Linked DNA regions of Xenopus tropicalis. The protein of the gene in region 4 interacts with the protein of the main gene of each other region in a pairwise test. Links are inferred from orthologs where the notes say so. Each region holds a gene or a part of one and is shown on either strand. Other genes may lie near its edges.

Region 1 (4,286 bases), on a different chromosome or scaffold from region 4:
CCTTCAATGTTCATTTTAACTGGTGTTCAAGTTCTAACAAAAGCCTCTGCTTGGAATAAAAGCCTGCGGTAGCTAGGATTTCATTATATCCACTGAAACAGACATATATCCCACATAACCAGTCCTCACTCACATCAAGTGTCAGCAAGTTGTCTCCTGTCAACTACGTGCCAACCCTAGCAAGGTCTGCCAGTAAGTTTTACATGAAGAGCCTAACATTAGCTACACGGCCATTTCTTCCAAATAAACGGCCCTCACATCGAGTCCCAACATGTCCGAAATTCATAACATCATCATCATATTTTACATTACATGCAGACTAATATAGAAGCTACCATGGAAGAATTTTTTACTTTGGCAAATCTCTGCCATCCCGAAGCAGCACCAGAGCCACTAGAAGTTGGCACTAGGGGTGTCCACCCATTTTCATACCTTAGAATCTATAAAGGTAAATTCATAGGCACCAATAAATGATTAATAGTTGCAAGGGTGCCTATTAATATGTCCCACATAGCACCTCCCTTGCTAACTGCCAAGTAGATTCTCCTGACAAAAACCACATTCATTTATACCAATTCAATTAAATGGCCACCTCTTTGCAATGGCAGGCAGGCCTGAAACCCCAGCCAGGCAGTATACAGAGGGTGAACTGTAGGCCTACAGACACATAGATGTCCCATAACAGGCAAATGAGTAACTATTTTAGAATTTAAAGAACACCTTAATTTGATCACTAAAAAGGTGTAATGGAATGTTATGGTGTAAAACACTAAAGCGAGGAGTCACTTAACGAACACAAAATATAAATTCATGCCACTGACTGTATTTATAAGAGAGTAAATCATGGGAACATGCCAGCCTACCCAGCAATGCTACTGCATTCATACCTCCCAACATTTGAAAAGCAGAAGGAGGGACAGAAATGTCTGGCGCGCAAGCCAACATTTTTAGGCCACGCCCACTTTATGGCCACGCCCCCCCCAAACAGGCCCATTTTACAAAACCACACCTGAAAAGCATAACATACACAAAGTGCACCAGAAGACAGACACGGTGGCCCCAATCATTTTATGACATATTGTGGCCCTAAGGATTTCATTATGCACTGTGGCACCTGTATTTAATGACAAACTCATGACCAGACATTGGTAGCCAGGTGTTATGTTTTGCATTGGCGCTAGAGCAGGGACCCCCTAAAACATTGCTGGTCCTCCCGCAGTGTCCCCCTACTACGGGCTGCTCCCCACTGCAGCATCCTCCCCAACATCCTTCAGCTGCCCCCAGCATCCACCCAACATCCTTCAGCTCCTCCCAGCGTCCTACCCAACATCCTTCAGCTCCCCCCAAAATCCTTCAGCTCCCCCCAAAATCCTCCAGCTCCCCCCAACATCCTCCACAATATCCTTCAGCTCCCCCAACATCCTCCAGCTCCCCCCAGCATCCTCCAGCTGCCTCCCAGGGTCCTCCAGCTGCCCCTAACCTTCCTCCAGTGTCCTCCCCAGCGTCAACCTGCTTTCTGTGGCACCCCCTGCTCCTACCACCACCAGCTTCCTCCGGCTGTGCCCCAGGGCTCTTCTTCTCCTCCTCGTGACGTCACATGCACGTCTCTTGAGTGCCGCAGCTGCTGCACTGTGAATGGCTTTATGTTAAAACTGAAGTGAGCGGCGCAGAAGCTGTGGCGCTAAGGGGAGACGTGCGTGTGGCGTCACGGGAGCAGAGACCTTTAAAAGTGGGACAGATCTGCAGCTATCCGGGACAGCGGGACAGGGTGGCAAAATCGGGACTGTCCCGCATAAAGCGGGACAGTTGGGAGGTATGACTGCATTTTCCAATATGAAAGAGAAATTCAGACAATGTATAAATAATGAAGGAATCACCATTCCCAAGAGTTAGGACTAGCAGTGCAGTCAGAGACAGGGCACATCAACATTAATAGAAAGATCTCTAATAATAAGAAATGCAATTCCATCATCCAATCACACGTCTGAATGTATTCTAAGGACAGTCATTGGGTGCTTCTAATTCCCCGCCCCCTTGATATTCCCGCCACCCAAGTGAGGTGCAGAACTGTACAACATGTCATTTCCATTACTGAGCCCAGCAGGGATGCTCCTTCTAGTGTAAAATCCCTTCCCTATGCCTTTCTTGGCATCTCTAACCAAACAGGAGAATATTCCATTGCATATGGCCGAATTGTGGGACCCAGTCTGTACCTTATATTTTCCTGCTTACTACATCAATGTCCAACTCACTACCCTCAAGTTGAGATTTATTTATAACTCCCACCCCTATTGGGGTGATACCGGAAGTCACAGTGGAACCCCAGAATGAAGGCAGCACCGATAGATACACTCAAAATATTTAACAAACGTTGCACATTATATGTCCTTCCCAGCCAGCCAGGCAAGGTGCGGGCTCATGAAGCTATGCCTGAAGCACAAATGCGGGACGGTATTAATGGATGCGCGTCCCAGAACACTTCCGGTATGGCGGTACCAAGGAAGGAGCGCAGGGATATCCCTAATCGGATCGCTACATCCACAGGGCCGCTGCCGCCTTACACTGCATCATGTGACTGTCTCCCTGGGCCTAACGCTATAGTCACCATTCTCCCATTCACACTAGCGGGGCCTCACAGGTTGGCAGCGCTGCTCTCTATCGCTCTCAGCTCAGCTATAATGGTTTCTCTCTTCTCCGCCTCCTCCATACCGCAAACTAACAAGCCATAAGGTTTTCCCGGGCTTCAATCTGCCTCCTCCCAGCATGCACCTCGCTAATACGCGGAAGTGCTAAACAACAATGAGTGTGCGAGGTTGGGGGCGGCGCTTCAGAACGCCCTCTAGTGGGGTGTTCTTCCAACTGCATGTGTGTGTTGCAAACGAGGCTAAAGGCGCGAATGGGGAAAGTTGTATTTGTGTAATTGGAAAATAAAGAAATTTCTATGAAAGTTTATGTACTTTTTTCCCCTCTCAAATTGGCATTTAGCAGTGCTTTTACATGATCTCTGCTTAATGGTTGCACCTAGAATAACCCATTCCATAGGGATCCCAGGTTACTATATAAGCAGGCAATACAGTGTCTATGGGGATATTTATGATTTACTACATTGCCCCAAATGACATCTCAGCAAACATGTAGCCTGCATCATAGCCATGGGCAGAGAATTGCAATTGTGTTTCCAATTACTATAGGAAGGGCTGCCATCAGTGGGGTAAAGGGGTGCTGCAATCAGAGGCCCTGTGGCAGAGGGGGCTCCAGAAGAAGGATTCACTGGTCATTAAAGGGCAGGGGGAGTGGGTAGGGTTTAGGTGGATTGTGGGCAAGATTTTACTCTAATGGGATGTGACTGGGGTTGATCAGGGCCTTGGTTATGCATGTGCTGCCCATTATTCTTATTTTTCCATTGGTGACTTGTTGGCGGGGCCCACAGTCTAGGTCCCTAAGTGCCCAGTAGGTAAATAATTGTGTGCCGCCTGGGTGGGTACTAGTGCCTTGTGATTTGTAATGGTATCCATGACTTCTGGGTATTGTGTAAGAAAAGAAGCTGAGAACCAAGTTGATTATAAAGGGGGCCATACACTGTAAGATCCGCTTGTTGGCAAGGTCTAAAGGACAAATATCGGCAACTGAAATTGGCCTGTGTATGAGGCCTGTGAAGCAGTTGAATAATCTTGTCCAATACAGTGAAGCCAGGGGTGTATCTTGGGATCTCTGGACACCCCCATACCACCCATGGACCATAGGGGCTGTGAATGGGGAATGTGGGCTGCTTTTTACTGGGTCCCCTGTCTCTTTGGGTCCCTCTTTGGCCATGGCGAAAGCTGAGTCTCCTCTCCATAAAGTTAAGTTACTAAGGTTACTAAGGTAACCTATGCCACTATCATCACCACTTGCCCAGGCTTTCTGCCCTTCTTCTTTGGCACCTGTGAAGCAGTTGAATAATCTTGTCCAATACAGTGAAGCCAGGGGTGTACCTTGGGATCTCTGGACACCCCCATACCACCCATGGGCCATAGGGGCTGTGAATGGGGAATGTCAGCTGCTTTTTACTGGGTCCCCTGTCTCTTTGGGTCCCTCTTTGGCCATGGGGAAAGCTGAGTCTCCTCTCCATAAAGTTAGGTTACTAAGGTAACCTATGCCACTATCATCACCACTTGCCCAGGCTTTCTGCCCTTCTTCTTTGGCACTGGAAAGGTTGCCCAGCAGCCAGCTAAATGCAACAAGGGGTCCACTGGCCACTTTTATCTGTTTGACACCCCTGATAGCACCGAGGGCAGTTTGGTGTG
Region 2 (2,769 bases), on a different chromosome or scaffold from region 4:
CCGGGGTCAGTGACCCCCATTTGAAAGCTGGAAAAAGAGAGAAGAGGAAGGCAAATAATGAAAAAACTGTGCAAAATAAGTGATGAGGACCAATTCAAAAGTTGATTAGGATTAACCATTTTAAAACATACTAAAAGTTAACTTTTAAGGGGTAGTTCACCTTTAAATTGACTTTTAGTATGATGTAGACATTGACATTCTAAGACAATTTGCAATTGGTCTTCATTTTTAATGATTTTCAGGTACTTAGCTCTGTGTTCAGCAGCTATCTGGTTGCTAGGGTGTAATTTACCCTAGCAACCAGGCAGTTGTTTGATTAAGAGTTGGGAATTCTGTGGGTTCAGGCAAATGCCAGAGGGGCTGCTGTCAGATGCCATAGGCAGTCACTATTTATTGGGCTGCTGGGGGGCTGTTTGACTCTGTAGTTGGGGGGGATTGGGTAACGATGTTCCCTTTGCTGCCTGCCTTCAGTGTCCTGTTACTGTTGGGCTGAATCTTCTCTCCCTGTGTGTGTCCAGGTGTTTCAGACATTGCATGCCACCGGGCAGTCGTCTATGGTGCGTGATTGGGTCATGCTGTCTCTCTCCAACTTCACCCAGAGAACCCCCGTTGCCATGGCCATGTGGAGCCTTTCCTGCTTTTTTGTCAGTGCTTCCACCAGCAAGTGGATTTCTGCCATGTATCCTTTATATTTATTACGGCCTCCCCCTGCCATAGAGCGCCCATTGGTTTACATTCCCCTCGCACTCTCCCAGCTAGAAACCTGTCTGAGCCCGGCTGCTCCATAAAGGCTGTGTGCGGCCGGAGCAGGGAAACATACGCTAAAGGGGAGAGAAACTCTCTTCTGAAGTCATTTTTATTTTACACTTAACCAAACATAGAAAGGGCTGCCATCCCCTTCAAGCATATATTTTTACTGACAGTTTTGCACACTCCATTGGGCCCTATTTGCATTTAATCACAGCTTCACGTGGTTGTAGCTTTCACCAGAAAATGCAGTAACAGCGCCCCTAGTGGCTGTAAGGATGGGGCTTTTACTTGTTTGTAGTTCCATAAGGTAAGTTCTGGCATTTTCTGGACACTACCCAGGTTCTGACTGGGCAATAGTCCCAGCTGGTCATTGGCTCAACAGGGTGATCCATACAAGAGACCTGCAATTTTCAGGGTATAATTTCCCTTTTAACACTTTAACCCCCTATATTTAATAACAGGCACTAAGTTTGCCCAGGAGCAGTAACCTATAGCAACCAATCAGCAGGTGGAATTTACTGGTCACCTGTTTAAAAGCAACATCTTATTTGTTGCTATGGGTTACTGCTCCTGGGCAAACTTAGTGCCTGTTATTTCATATAGGGGGTTTAAGTGTTAAAAGGGAAATTATACCCTGAACATTGCAGGTCTCTATTAAAAAGTATATATTTTTCTACTAGTATGTGCCCATTAATAATGCCATTTGTATCCCTATGGCTCATATGAGGCACTGTGCTGAAGGGCACGCATACATGCTAAGTTGCATCAACCAATAAATGGACAGAGGTGGGATTTTGCTCCCACAACTTCCTGTTCCAGTTATTTCCTGTCCCATAAGGCAGTATTCAGGAGTCTCAGTGGTATTGTTGTACAGGAAATGCTTCATTGCTGGTTTTCCTCTTAACCCAGCGCCTCAGTCTCCCACACGTCATTAGCAGAATGGGAAAGTCGGAGCCGGTAGATGTGAATTTATTTTGCCTGGTGGCCATAGACTTCTACAAACATCAGATTGATGAAGAACTGGACCGGAGATCCTTCCAGTCAGTGTTTGAGCTGGTCGCCTCCCCCGGGAGCCCCTATTACCGGCTGCTCTTGTGTTTACAGAACGTGCATAAGATCACTGTGTTCTGATTGGGTCGGCAGTGAATCCACCCTTGAGAACGCATGCATGGGCCTGATATCCCCGGCACAGAGGCTTCTGGGTAATAAAAGACCCTCACCAAATGGAAGTGGAGCTTCTGTAGCCGGGCACTTGGCACTCATTCTGCACTGAATGTTTTTGTAAATACCTTCTGATGATAAATTTGCTTTATTAACGTGAGCGTAAATATCACACATTGGCACATTTATGGTAGGGGCGGGTCTGTAACATCGCAAAGCCACACTAAAAATAAAGGACAACTACCAACTCAGTCCAACAAGCCATTCAGTAGATTCACTCGGCATCTTTTGTGAGACCTTTGTATCCGTCTGTCGCGTCTACTAGAGATCTTGTGACGACGCCCAGTAGAGCGTTAGATCTGTCACTTCCAACTTGAATGGCATAGAGAGAGAGATCTGGTTATGGGTGTTTGTGGGTGTGGCCTAATGATGGAACATTGTAGGTTGTTTTTTTTTTTGTCCTTAGCATCAGTGGGCGGGGACATGCGCAAACCCAGCTCCGCACTAACCTTCCAATTCCTCATAATTTGAGTATTATTATACAAGGGAACGACATTTATCCTGGGACTTCTGTAGCAAAGGGACCCCCAAAAGACAAAAAGATGTAAAACAAATTTATCGTATTCCAACTAATACATATTTTCAGTATATACATTAGGGATGTCCAATCTGAATCCCTCTAGCTGTTATTAATGGAAACCCTCCGAACAAATTCATGTTTTATTGCTCCGGCGCCACCTGCTGTTCATTTCTGCAGATTGGACTCTGTCGGCTGAAATTTGAGTTATTGAAAACAGGAAAGTCCTGTGATGTTATTCAGCTTCCATCTGACCAGAGAAAGTCAGGTGACCCTTCTCT
Region 3 (3,516 bases), on a different chromosome or scaffold from region 4:
CAGTTATTGCTGCTAAGGGTGGCCCAACCAGTTATTAGGTTCAGGGGGCAATTACTTTTTCACACAGGGCCATGTAGGTTTGGATTTTTTTTCTCCCTAAATAATAAAAACCCTCATTTAAAAACTGCATTTTGTGTTTACTTGTGTTATCTTTGACTAATAGTTAAATGTGTTTGATGATCAGAAACATTTTGTGTGACAAACATGCAAAAGAATAAGAAATCAGGAAGGGGGCAAATAGTTTTTCACACCACTGTATATGCTCAGTTTTTTTGCAATGTACTGTTTCTCATTTAAGATGTTAAAAATGTTAGCAGGTAGAAATGATGAGACACCAGTTTGCATATTCCATCCTTATTCCCTGGGGATTTACAGTACTGACAAATGCATGGAAAAACTGCTTCCCTCCAGTGTGTGCAGAGTGGTGTCCAGGTGGAGACTCAGAACACAAATTTAATTAAAGGACATGTAAAGCCTACATTTGCCTACAATGTATATCAGTTGGGCACGTCTCCCCCACCCAAATGGCATCATTTGTACTGCATGTATCCCCTCTGTTTGCCAGCACCGTCACATTTTCCTAAAGCAAATAGCAGCTTTCACCCGGGGGCCATTTTTCCTCTGATACATAATCAGATACATTTAAATCTGCAAACAGCATACACACACACACACACAGACTCTTATTCAGCATACATTTCATCAAGAATACTGGCTCGCACAGGCAGAACTGTCTTTGATAAAAGTTCTGCTTTGTTTGAGCTGATCTCAGGAGAGGAGGTTAGGAGAATTAAAAATTGAAGCAGACAGCTAGAGCTGAGTTTCTATGGGAACCAGCAATGCCATCTCTTCACTGGCTGCTAGACTGGGGGGCATGTTTAGTAATCTGAGCTTAAAATAACTGAGCATGCCCACAAGCCAGAAGTCTAAGCAAATTCCTGAGGGAGGCGGCTGAGTGGGTTACAGGAGGCGAAGGAAATCTAAGTGATTAAGGAGATGCTGCAGCCTTACTATTAACCTCTGGACAACCAGTATGGCAGGTATTGAAAGATTTCAAAGAGGCTGTTCACTGATTCAGTTTTTGTGTGTGGGGTCACCATGTCCTTTAATCCTTATACTGACAGCTCGGCAGTCCACCGAGACCACAGGCAAACCAAACAGGTCCCTTATACCAGTATAACACTGCCATAATCCTTTGAACTTCTCAAAGCAGAAAATGAATGTGATGTGCAAAAGTGTTCAGAAAAGCATTCAGAGCTTACTTTGGTTTATCTTTTGACTTTACATTTCTTTTATGGTCAATACAACTGGACAATTTAAAAAACATAAATAAATAAATAAAGCAATGCCCAATCAATCATTATGTCTGAGGTTATCTTATCAAGTTCTGTACCAATTACCCCAATGTCGATTTTTCAGCATAATCACCCTAAATTTTCAAAGGCTGGGGTCACTTGAGCTACCCACATAGCGTCTTTTAATGAAGACTAAGATGCAGAATGCCATCTACTATCTGGAATGCTTGGGACCTTAAGTTTTCCATAAAGGGATCTTTCTGTAAGTTGGATCACATATCTTAAGCCTGATAGAAAATAATTTAAAGAATAAATAAACCCAATCGGATTGTACTGCCTTCAATATGGATTCATGCTGCTTAATTACCATCAACTACAAGGTACTGTTTTATTTTAACAGAAAGAGGGGTAATCGCTTTAAAAGAAAACTAGAATTATTCACTTAAAATCAAATCTGTGAGAGTTGACCATCCTTTAATTCTGAGCTTTCTGGATAATAGGTTTCAGGTAACTGATCCCATACCTGCACTGCTGAACATGAATATCAACACCATTTCAGAGAAACCACACTGGTCAAGGGACATTGCCTGTGAGAAGAGCAGGGCAGTAACTAATATAATATCTATCATTTAGCTTACCTTAAAGTCTTGGATGAGTGCTTTCACTGCTGCTGCATCTAATAGGTTGAGGTATTCAAATCTGGGCCGAGCACGACTGTACCCACAGCCCAGCACATGCCAACTGTTCTCCTTAAACTCTTTATATACAGCTCGACCAAGAAGTCCAGTTGCACCGGTTATCAGAGCCCTTCTACCAGGAATAGTAACATCATCCTAAAAAATATAAACACATGCTCAGTATCATCCTTAAAAACAAAAACATGCTCAGTAGATTCAGTTACCATGAAAGTCAATTATCCACATTTTTGAACCAGTTCCAACCTTTGTCTAATGTAACAATTTTTAACCAAAACGAAATTGCATTTTCAAGGCAGAAGTAGCTGCCGTGTTACATTGTAACATCACATGCTGTACAGTAGAAAACTGTTACCCAAGCCTTCCATTTAAAAAGCTGATTATTAATAATCAATATGTTTGTGTATTGGATCATTTCAAAGTTTGAGTCAGCAAAAAAACATACCTTTGGGGGACTGCAACTGGGCAACACAATCCCAGAACCATGCAGTGTAATTGGTAGGGTGTCAACTCTAACCTATATATTTTAGTTTGCTTAAAAACAGCTTTGCTCTAATTATCTAGTTTTGATATGGCTTTTGTGCAGAAACATGAAGATATGCAACCAGCTTAACAAGTTTAAATCAAAATATTTAACCAACATAAATGGCTTCATATTTTACTGAAACTTATATATATAGTAGTCTTTCTGCCTGAATTCTTCTAAACAAGGCAGCAAAATACACAACAGTTCCAGATTTACTGAACTTGTCAACCTAAATTACTGTTAGTTTTGTTTCCAATACAGCCTGCAGGTTACTTGACTCATAATCTCACTGGGTTTCAGGTTAACAGTTACTGAATTATAGAAAAAGATTTAAAATGACAAGTTATGTAATATGAGCTTTTGCAGGCTCCCAGGGGTTCTGGTGTGCTTGAACAAGTATTCAATGTACAGATGGAGCAGGATTTGTACCTAATTATGTGGCTCCAGCAACAGACACAGAGAGATATATATTGTATTTTTTACATCTAGCAGGACCTGATCAGTGTCCATGTGCGGCTAGAATTAAAAGGCGATAGAACCTGTGTCAATTATACCTGCTCAAACAAATGTTTAGAAGATCAATTTAAAGAGTTACTGACACCAGAAATTAAACCTTGTTTTACATCTAATGTAACATTGTCTTTACTTGCACTTTCTAAACATGCCTTAATGATTTTGCATGATGCTTTTACATTACCCTCCATGTTCCTTGAAGAGGGGGCTGCCATATTTGTGTTGCGGTAGTCTGTTAAGTGTCAGAAAGTCTGACAGGTTGAAAGGGTTGGCCAAACAGTCAGGTTTAGAAACTGTAAGTAACAATTACTTACAAAAGGCTATCAACATGACCTGTAGGAACGTATTAAAAAATATTAATACTGTTTTATCGCGTGTAGGTTCACCCCATAAACTGTTATTTTACCTGGATGTCCGAGCTGAGAAACAACATAAACAGCACTCACTCCAAAGGTTTATTTTGCTCAACATTTTGGTCCCTCACCAT
Region 4 (4,252 bases):
TTATGCAGTCATTAGTATTCTTGAAGAAATCGCAATTACCTTTTTTTCACTTTTATAATTATTTTTGCTCGTTTGGCAAATCTCGGAATTGTAATTTAAACTGCTATCTGCTGGAAAGATGCAAAGTCCAAATGGACATTGGAAAACATAATGTTCTGTCTGGTTTTAGTGAATACAAAAAGCAGTATTTTCACTTGGAGGCTGGAAAGAGGTGAAATAGGAAAGCTGATCACCGGAAGAAAAAAAATTACAAATGAGGACCTTGCCAAAGAAGACCAAAATATCATGCTAGAACCTTGGTAGGTAAGCATAGGTGTGCCAATGTTGACTACACGCCTTCCCTGCCCACTCTGGTGATATCAAAGATGGCAGGTCTGGCAGATGTATATAAATAATGATGGTGTAGCTGGTCATTTAGGGTTCAGACCTTGATAGCTTTCTGTGCTAGGAATAACCTGTAAGAAAACAAAAAACCTTAAAGGACATGGAAAGGCAAAGTCACTTGGGGGTGCCAAAATGTTAGGCACCCCCAAGTGACTTTAATCGCTTACCTTTTACCCCGGACTGGTGCCCCTGTTGGGATAGAACAGCACCAGCCCGGGGTAGCTGCCAGCACTTCCACCTTCCTGTCTCACCTCGCACGCATGCACAGTAGAGTGAATAGTGGAACTTTAACAGAGAAGTCGGCTTTTCACTTTACTGCGCATGCGCCTACCGCATAGTCACAGCTTAACGAAGCAGGAAGGAGGATGCGCATCGCCCCTGGTACCCCGGGCTGGTGCCGTTTTCTCCTAACAGGGGCACCAGCCCGGGGTACAAGGTAAGCGATTAAAGTCACTTGGGGGTACCTAACATTTTGGCACCCCCAAGTGACTTTGCCTTTCCTTGTCCTTTAAAGAAGGTTAGCGATTTCCTCTGTACTTAGTGACTTGTCCCATGACTCAGTGAATTTGTAAATTAAGAAATATCTTAGTATCAAAGTTGTTTCACACAGCACTGCCGTTAAGTGTTTTAGCCTTAGTATATTCTCTCAAGCCCATCCACTGGAGATTCCTGTACTACAGACTCATTGATTTTTTGTGCGTCAATAATCAGCCGTGGGTAACTGTAGTTACTAGTCTGTTATAGTAACCATCTTGGCAAAACATTGCAATTACATTATTGAGGCAGCACAGCTCACCACCTGATATGTTATTATTCTAAACAGAAATGACAAATGAATGCATAGCAGGACCCTTGACAAGGCACTACAGAAGCCTAGGCACAGGATTAAATGAGAACGTGATGAGCAAAGTGCCACAGTTCAGGTTCCCATTTGAGGTTCAGTGTCTCCTTTAGAACATAAGTTTCCAAACACATTGCTAAATGAACCATGCAATAATAGTTCCAAGAACCACTAGGACATCAAAGAACCGTTCATCCCAAATATTACTCCAAGTGACCTCCAAGATAAGTTTTTAAGAGACCAATAGGTATTCGCCCCAAATCAATCCCCATAGTGGTCTTTAGGCTGGGCCCCCTTCCATGGCTGTGTGGGGTCAATTTGGGAAGCTACCATAAGCCTACAAGTGACTGTTTAATTCCTGAGCCGTTACAATGTGTCATATTCTGCAAAGAGCTGTGCAGGTGTGAAATGAAGAAACATGGAGATAGGGTAACAATATGGAATGCATAAAATGGGAGGGGGTAATGAAAATATATCTGCACATGAAGTAATAGAGGAAAACAGGCATAACAGATGGGAAAAGCTGGTAAAGAAAGCAAATAAAACCTCAGGAAAAAAAGGTGCAGTTTGCTTAATTTCTGTTGCACGGAGCAGCAGTGGGTGCTCTGGTACCTGCATTTTCTCTTATTACAATAATGGCAGATAATGGACTGTGTAATAGCAATCTAATACTACAACATGCTTAAGCTTTGTTTGAACCCATGGAAATAAGCCATATAAATACAGTCTGATGGATAGTAAGCAAGCCAAGCACAGACTGGCAAATTGGCTGCAATAAGCTGCCATAGGTGAGAGATTTATATTGGGCCTGTGTATAGGATTTAGATCTCAGGCAGATATGATATTAAGTCATACAGTGAGATGGCCAACTGCAAATATTCCCAGCACTGCACCATGCACAGCGGCTCATAGCACCTTATACAAATGGGATACTCCCTGCGATCATGTGGCACCAAGATGTGGCACCAAGATGTAAGTGTAAGCCCTGTAACCTTCATAGCTGGGGAAGAGGCTGCCATGCCAGGTGGGTCACTACATCCCCCCCACCCATAGTGCTATCCATCTATGGAAAATGCCACTTCCGGGAAGAATGTGGATCCCCACTGGGGGCTACAGTGCAGGGCTATGGGAATGCCTGTAGAACACACTTCTAGTGCCTACATCTCCCACAATGCCCCACAAGCCGCTGACACAAGGCTGAGGCATGGCAGTGCCCGGGCAGGTGTCAGTGACGGCACATCCATGGGCAGGCCTCAATGCGAGAGCCTCTCAGCCCAAGCTCCCCGGCCCCTATGGTGCCCCGGATACTCCATCCCCGGCTGTGACAGAGCAGGCCCGGCCACTTTATGAAGACAGTGCCGGCTTTTTCAGGGAGAGGTCAGGGCCTGAGCCCTAGCAAGGCCTCCCATCGACTCACTGCGTTACTCACCTCCACATCTCGCCCCTTGTTCTTAAAGCTTTTGATACGGTGGTTCTCTAGGCCGGCGTTGTCCGCCATGGCGGCTGCTTCTTATGTGTCTTCCCCCTGCCCGTTTACCGGCTGCGACACCAACACTTCCAAGGCCGCGCCACAGCCGCACTCCTCCGCCCTGCGCGCACTCGCACTCACACAGAGGGACGGAGCTGGGGAAAGGCTGGGGGCGGGGCGTGCGCGCTCACACGGGATCGGGGCGGTCTGTGGGCGGGGCGTGCGCGCTCACACGGGATCGGGGCGGTCTGTGGGCGGGGCGTGCGCGCTCGCGTTGAGAGTACGGGGGCGTGAGCATGCCTGTGGAAGTATGCTTCTTACGTGTGCGCTATAAGTCTAATGACGCTTGAGCTGACGTTAGGGAGTCGTGCTGATGCTGCGGCTTTCCGTAACCGCAAGGAATGTCTGACAGCCAAAAGCCTATCGGGATACGCTAATCGTTCACGCCAATGCTTCTGCGAATAAGTGAAAGCTATCCAGAGAATGGGCTGTGAGAGTTGCAGTACGACAACATCAGGAGAAGCGGCATTTTTGCCTCTCGCTTAGTGCGCAATAAAGTCAGGAAAGCTAAAAAGCGGCCACTTGTTCTTTTTTTTCTCTCCCCTGACGTAGGATGTCACATGGCCGCAAAGGAACGCTCTAGTGTTGAGTCAGTGGCTCATTGCTCCTCCCTTTCTATCTAATGCGGGGGTTATAGGCTCCGCCCTTTCGGGCAACCCCTGGGAGCACCATAGGTGGGTGGTGTTATGTGCGAGCTAGGGATCCGCCTCAAGTCTTTCTTAAAGGGACACTGTCATGATTTGTATGGTGTACTTTTTATTTCTCTCTGCCATTTAAAATATTATTCTTGAACCAACAAATGTATTTTTAGCTGTAGTATTGGTGTGTAGGCGCCATCTCAGTGCGTTGTGCCTGAGTCTGAGCTTTCAGAAGGAGCCAGCGCTACACATTAGAACTGCTTTCAGCTAACCTATTGTTTCTCCTACTCCCATGTAACTGGGAGTCCCAAGCCGGACTTTTCCGGACTATTCTAATACCTACTGGGAGCTGCTATCTTGCTCCCTTCCCATTGTTCTGCTGATCGGCTGCTGGGAGGGGGGTGATATCACTCCAACTTGCAGCTCAGCAGTAAAGTGTGACTGATGTTTATCAGAGCGCAGGTCACATGGCTGTGGCACCCTGGGAAATGAAGAATATGGCTAGCCCATGAGAAATTTCAAAATGAAATATTAAAAATCAGTTTGCTTTTTTGAAAAACAGATTACAATGCAGGATTCTGCTGGAGAAGCTCTATTAACTGATGTGTTTTGAAATAAACATGTTTTACCATGACAGTATTCCTTTAAAGAGTTAATCCCAAGCTGCAGGCATACCTTCAGTTGTCTCAATAGTGCCCTTAAGTCTCCCCATATTTCTCCTGTTCAGATCAGAAGCCAAACAGGAAGAAAAAACGCTGAGCTGTGTAAAGAAAGTTCCCATAATGCCTCACTCCTGCACAGACACCCAGACCAAGTGTACATGCTCAGTTAATAAGACTATGAGTCAGCTTCTTGCTGATT
Region 5 (4,122 bases), on a different chromosome or scaffold from region 4:
CAAGATTCCCCTGTAAGCTGATAGGGTGCATAGAGGCCCCTAATAGCCAATCACAGCCCTTATTTGGCTCCTCCATGAACATTTATGGTGCTTGTGTTGCTCTCCAAGTCTTTTTACTTTGACTGTGGTTCCCGAGTAAGAAAGGTTGGGGATCCCTGGTATAGAGGTAGGTTCATGAGTCCTAGAACTGTGATGACCCAGCAGCGAGCCAGTTTCTGATTTTGTTAGTCCATTCGCTGCAGTGTGTTCTGGGCTCTTCCGTAGCCTCTGTCCCCCATGTATTTGTAATTAGGGGACATACATTATAGTCATAGTAGTAGTAGCAGGAGCCAGGGTTGGACTGGGGGGTGCAGGGCCCACCGAGGCTACCCCCCGGGGGGCCCGCACCCCACAAGGGGCCTCTTCTGGCTGCGTCCCCTGCTGGGGCCCCCACCGCACACCCCTATCCCCTCACAGGGCCCCCCGCCCGACGTCCTCCCCCGAGCTTGCGTATGTGAAACCCATCAGGGGGGGACACCAACGGCCAGGGGAAGCTGCAACAGGGTCGGGTCTGGGCCGATGGGGCCCACCATGTCCGGGGGCCCACCATGTCCAGGGGCCCACAGGGTATTTTCCCGGTGTCCCAGCAGCCCCTGTCCGGCCCTGGCAGGAGCTATTTCCATGTCTATTATTCCCACACCTTTCAGTGAACCTTTAGTATGTTATAGAATGGCCTATTCTAAGAAACTTTTCAATTGGTCTTCATTATTTATTTGTTATAGTTTTTAATATCTGCCGCTTTCTTCTGACTCTTTTCCCCTTTAATTGTCAAATGGGGGTCACTGACCCCGGCAGCCAAACCCTATTGCTCTGTGAGGCTCCAGTTTTATTGTTATTGTTATTGTTATTACTTTTCTTTCTGTTTAGGTCCCTCTCCTACAAACATATCAGTCTCTCATTCGAACCAATTCCTGGTCGCTCGGGTAATTTAGACCCTAGCAACCAGATAACTGCTGAAACTGGAGAGCTGCTGCACAAAAAGGGAAATATTTACAAAACCAGGAATAATACAAAAAAATGAAGACCAATTGCAAATTGTCTCAGGATATTACTCTCTATGTTATACTAAACGTTAACTCAAAGGTGAACAATCCCTCCAATTGAGATTCTGTCATGACTCCCCCGCCCTTTTCTCCCCCCTGCCCATCATCTCTGTGGGTTTTTTCCCCAGCGAGAACGATCCTAGCGATTTCTATAGTGGGTGCTTTACACAAAGGGGCCGCCAGGTGGCAGCATTGAGATTTTCCAGAGCAACAAGTAGCAAATGTCTCTTGCCGGTTTCCGTAGTGCGCACCGGAAGTGGGGAAGAAGCAGCAGAAGAAGCAGCCGGAAGGTGTTGCTGCCAGGGAACCTGCGATGGGCAAGAGGGATAAGGCGGACAGAGGTAGGGACAGTGTCCCATAGTCTGTGGGGCTTTGTGCCGTGTGGTAGCGCTAAACTCAGGGGAGGGAGGGGGTTAATAACGCAGGGGCCTTCTGGGAGTTTCACGTAATTCCGTGCATTTGCCTTGGGTTATACCCCCAATAGGTGCCTCAGGGTTATACCCCCAATAGGTACCTCAGGGTTATACCCCCAATAGGTGCCTCAGGGTTATACCCCCAATAGGTGCCTCAGGGTTATACCCCCAATAGGTGCCTCAGGGTTATACCCCCCAATAGGTGCCTCAGGGTTATACCCCCCAATAGGTGCCTCAGGGTTATACCCCCCAATAGGTGCCTCAGGGTTATACCCCCAATAGGTACCTCAGGGTTATTACCCCCCAATAGGTGCCTCAGGGTTATACCCCAATAGGTGCCTCAGGGTTATACCCCCAATAGGTGCCTCAGGGTTATACCCCCAATAGGTACCTCAGGGTTATACCCCCAATAGGTGCCTCAGGGTTATACCCCCAATAGGTACCTCAGGGTTATACCCCCAATAGGTGCCTCAGGGTTATACCCCCAATAGTACCTCAGGGTTATACCCCAATAGGCCTCAGGGTTATACCCCAATAGGTGCCTCAGGGTTATACCCCCAATAGGTGCCTCAGGGTTATACCCCCAATAGGTACCTCAGGGTTATACCCCCCAATAGGCTGCCTCAGGGTTATACCCCCAATAGGCGCCTCAGGGGTTATACCCCCAATAGGTGCCTCAGGGTTATACCCCCAATAGGTGCCTCAGGGTTATACCCCCAATTGGCCTCAGGGTTATACCCCCAATAGGTGCCTCAGGGTTATACCCCCCAATAGGTGCCTCAGGGTTATACCCCCAATAGGTGCCTCAGGGTTATACCCCCCAATAGGTGCCTCAGGGTTATACCCCCAATAGGTGCCTCAGGGTTATACCCCCAATAGGTGCCTCAGGGTTATACCCCCAATAGGTGCCTCAGGGTTATACCCCCAATAGGTGCCTCAGGGTTATACCCCCAATAGGTGCCTCAGGGTTATACCCCCAATAGGTGCCTCAGGGTTATACCCCCAATAGGTGACCTCAGGGTTATACCCCCCAATAGGGCCCCTCAGGGTTATACCCCCAATAGGTGCCTCAGGGTTATACCCCCAATAGGTGCCTCAGGGTTATACCCCCAATAGGTGCCTCAGGGTTATACCCCCAATAGGCGCCTCAGGGTTATACCCCCCAATAGGTACCTCAGGGTTATACCCCCAATAGGTACCTCAGGGTTATACCCCCAATAGGCGCCTCAGGGTTATACCCCCCAATAGGTACCTCAGGGTTATACCCCCAATAGGTGCCTCAGGGTTATACCCCCAATAGGTGCCTCAGGGTTATACCCCCCAATAGGTGCCTCAGGGTTATACCCCCAATAGGTACCTCAGGGTTATACCCCCAATAGGCGCCTCAGGGTTATACCCCCCAATAGGTACCTCAGGGTTATACCCCCAATAGGTGCCTCAGGGTTATACCCCCAATAGGTACCTCAGGGTTATACCCCCAATAGGCGCCTCAGGGTTATACCCCCAATAGGTACCTCAGGGTTATACCCCCAATAGGTGCCTCAGGGTTATACCCCCAATAGGTACCTCAGGGTTATACCCCCAATAGGCGCCTCAGGGTTATACCCCCCAATAGGTACCTCAGGGTTATACCCCCCAATAGGTACCTCAGGGTTATACCCCCAATAGGTACCTCAGGGTTATACCCCCAATAGGCGCCTCAGGGTTATACCCCCCAATAGGTACCTCAGGGTTATACCCCCAATAGGTGCCTCAGGGTTATACCCCCAATAGGTGCCTCAGGGTTATACCCCCCAATAGGTGCCTCAGGGTTATACCCCCCAATAGGTACCTCAGGGTTATACCCCCAATAGGCGCCTCAGGGTTATACCCCCAATAGGCGCAGCAGGATAATACCCCCAATAGGCGCCACTGACCTACTCTGATTTCCCTCCCAGGAGACAAAAAGAAGTTCAAGCGGCGTCACTATGAGGAAGAGGATGAAGAGGAAGAGGAGGTGCCCGGGGGCGAATACCAGGAAGCCGTTCCTTCTGCCGCGGGAAAGCAAGTGGACGAAGCCGGCACAAAGCAGGATGAGTACGGAGCCAAAGACTATCGCCTGCAGATGCCTCTGAAAATGGATCATTCCTCTCGCCCCCTGTGGGTGGTACGTTCCATATGTTACTCTGAGGCGGCTAGCGGATTCCATTAAAGGGCTTGTTTACCTTTGAATTAACTGAGTTAATATGACGTAGACATTAATCTGAGCCAATTTTTTATTGGTTTTTATTTTTTGTCGTTAAGTAGCTCTCCAGTTTGGCATTTCAGCTGCTACCTTGTTGCTAGGGTCTTGTTTACCCTAGCAACCAGGCGGTGGTTTAAATGAAAGACTGGAATATGAAGAGGAGAGGGCCCGGATTAAAGAAAAAAGTATAAAGTTACAATATTAATACAATTGTAAACTTCAGGGCAATAGTTTTCGGCTGTCGGGTCACTTGAAAGCCGGAAAAATGTAGAAGTAAATCAGTCGCTGATGGAAAAACATTGGATTTAATTTAATCTAAAATATCTGTGAACTCTCCTGACTCGGGGGTGGTTGGGCTAAAGGGAAAGCTGTACCATTAGTTGGCGCGGGGTTCAGCCCAAAT

Evidence for each region.
Region 1: the proteins of kpna3 (region 4) and tssc4 interact in binary tests that used the Homo sapiens proteins (3 or more experiments, as listed by UniProt). The two-hybrid records come from large-scale screens. The link is inferred for Xenopus tropicalis from reciprocal best matches to the Homo sapiens genes KPNA3 and TSSC4.
Region 2: the proteins of kpna3 (region 4) and htt interact in binary tests that used the Homo sapiens proteins (3 or more experiments, as listed by UniProt). The link is inferred for Xenopus tropicalis from reciprocal best matches to the Homo sapiens genes KPNA3 and HTT.
Region 3: the proteins of kpna3 (region 4) and mat2b interact in binary tests that used the Homo sapiens proteins (3 or more experiments, as listed by UniProt). The two-hybrid records come from large-scale screens. The link is inferred for Xenopus tropicalis from reciprocal best matches to the Homo sapiens genes KPNA3 and MAT2B.
Region 5: the proteins of kpna3 (region 4) and ercc3 interact in binary tests that used the Homo sapiens proteins (3 or more experiments, as listed by UniProt). The link is inferred for Xenopus tropicalis from reciprocal best matches to the Homo sapiens genes KPNA3 and ERCC3.

The regions. Positions count from the first base shown.
Region 1 is NC_030680.2:22,340,696-22,344,981, reverse strand, and holds the start of tssc4 (protein TSSC4), read right to left. Parts: upstream 2,810-4,286; 5' UTR 2,637-2,809; exon of another isoform or gene 2,562-2,636; intron 2,539-2,561; exon of another isoform or gene 2,214-2,538; intron 1-2,213. UniProt on the Homo sapiens protein: Protein associated with the U5 snRNP, during its maturation and its post-splicing recycling and which is required for spliceosomal tri-snRNP complex assembly in the nucleus.
Region 2 is NC_030677.2:22,815,887-22,818,655, forward strand, and holds part of htt (huntingtin), read left to right. Parts: intron 1-518; coding exon 519-679; intron 680-1,667; coding exon 1,668-1,881; 3' UTR 1,882-2,769.
Region 3 is NC_030679.2:35,760,533-35,764,048, forward strand, and holds part of mat2b (methionine adenosyltransferase 2 subunit beta), read right to left. Parts: intron 2,129-3,516; coding exon 1,934-2,128; intron 1-1,933.
Region 4 is NC_030678.2:149,390,346-149,394,597, forward strand, and holds the start of kpna3 (importin subunit alpha-4), read right to left. Parts: upstream 2,803-4,252; 5' UTR 2,724-2,802; coding exon 2,655-2,723; intron 1-2,654. UniProt on the Homo sapiens protein: Functions in nuclear protein import as an adapter protein for nuclear receptor KPNB1. Binds specifically and directly to substrates containing either a simple or bipartite NLS motif.
Region 5 is NC_030685.2:86,618,841-86,622,962, reverse strand, and holds the start of ercc3 (general transcription and DNA repair factor IIH helicase subunit XPB), read left to right. Parts: upstream 1-1,319; 5' UTR 1,320-1,395; coding exon 1,396-1,423; intron 1,424-3,432; coding exon 3,433-3,641; intron 3,642-4,122. UniProt on the Homo sapiens protein: ATP-dependent 3'-5' DNA helicase/translocase. Binds dsDNA rather than ssDNA, unzipping it in a translocase rather than classical helicase activity. Component of the general transcription and DNA repair factor IIH (TFIIH) core complex.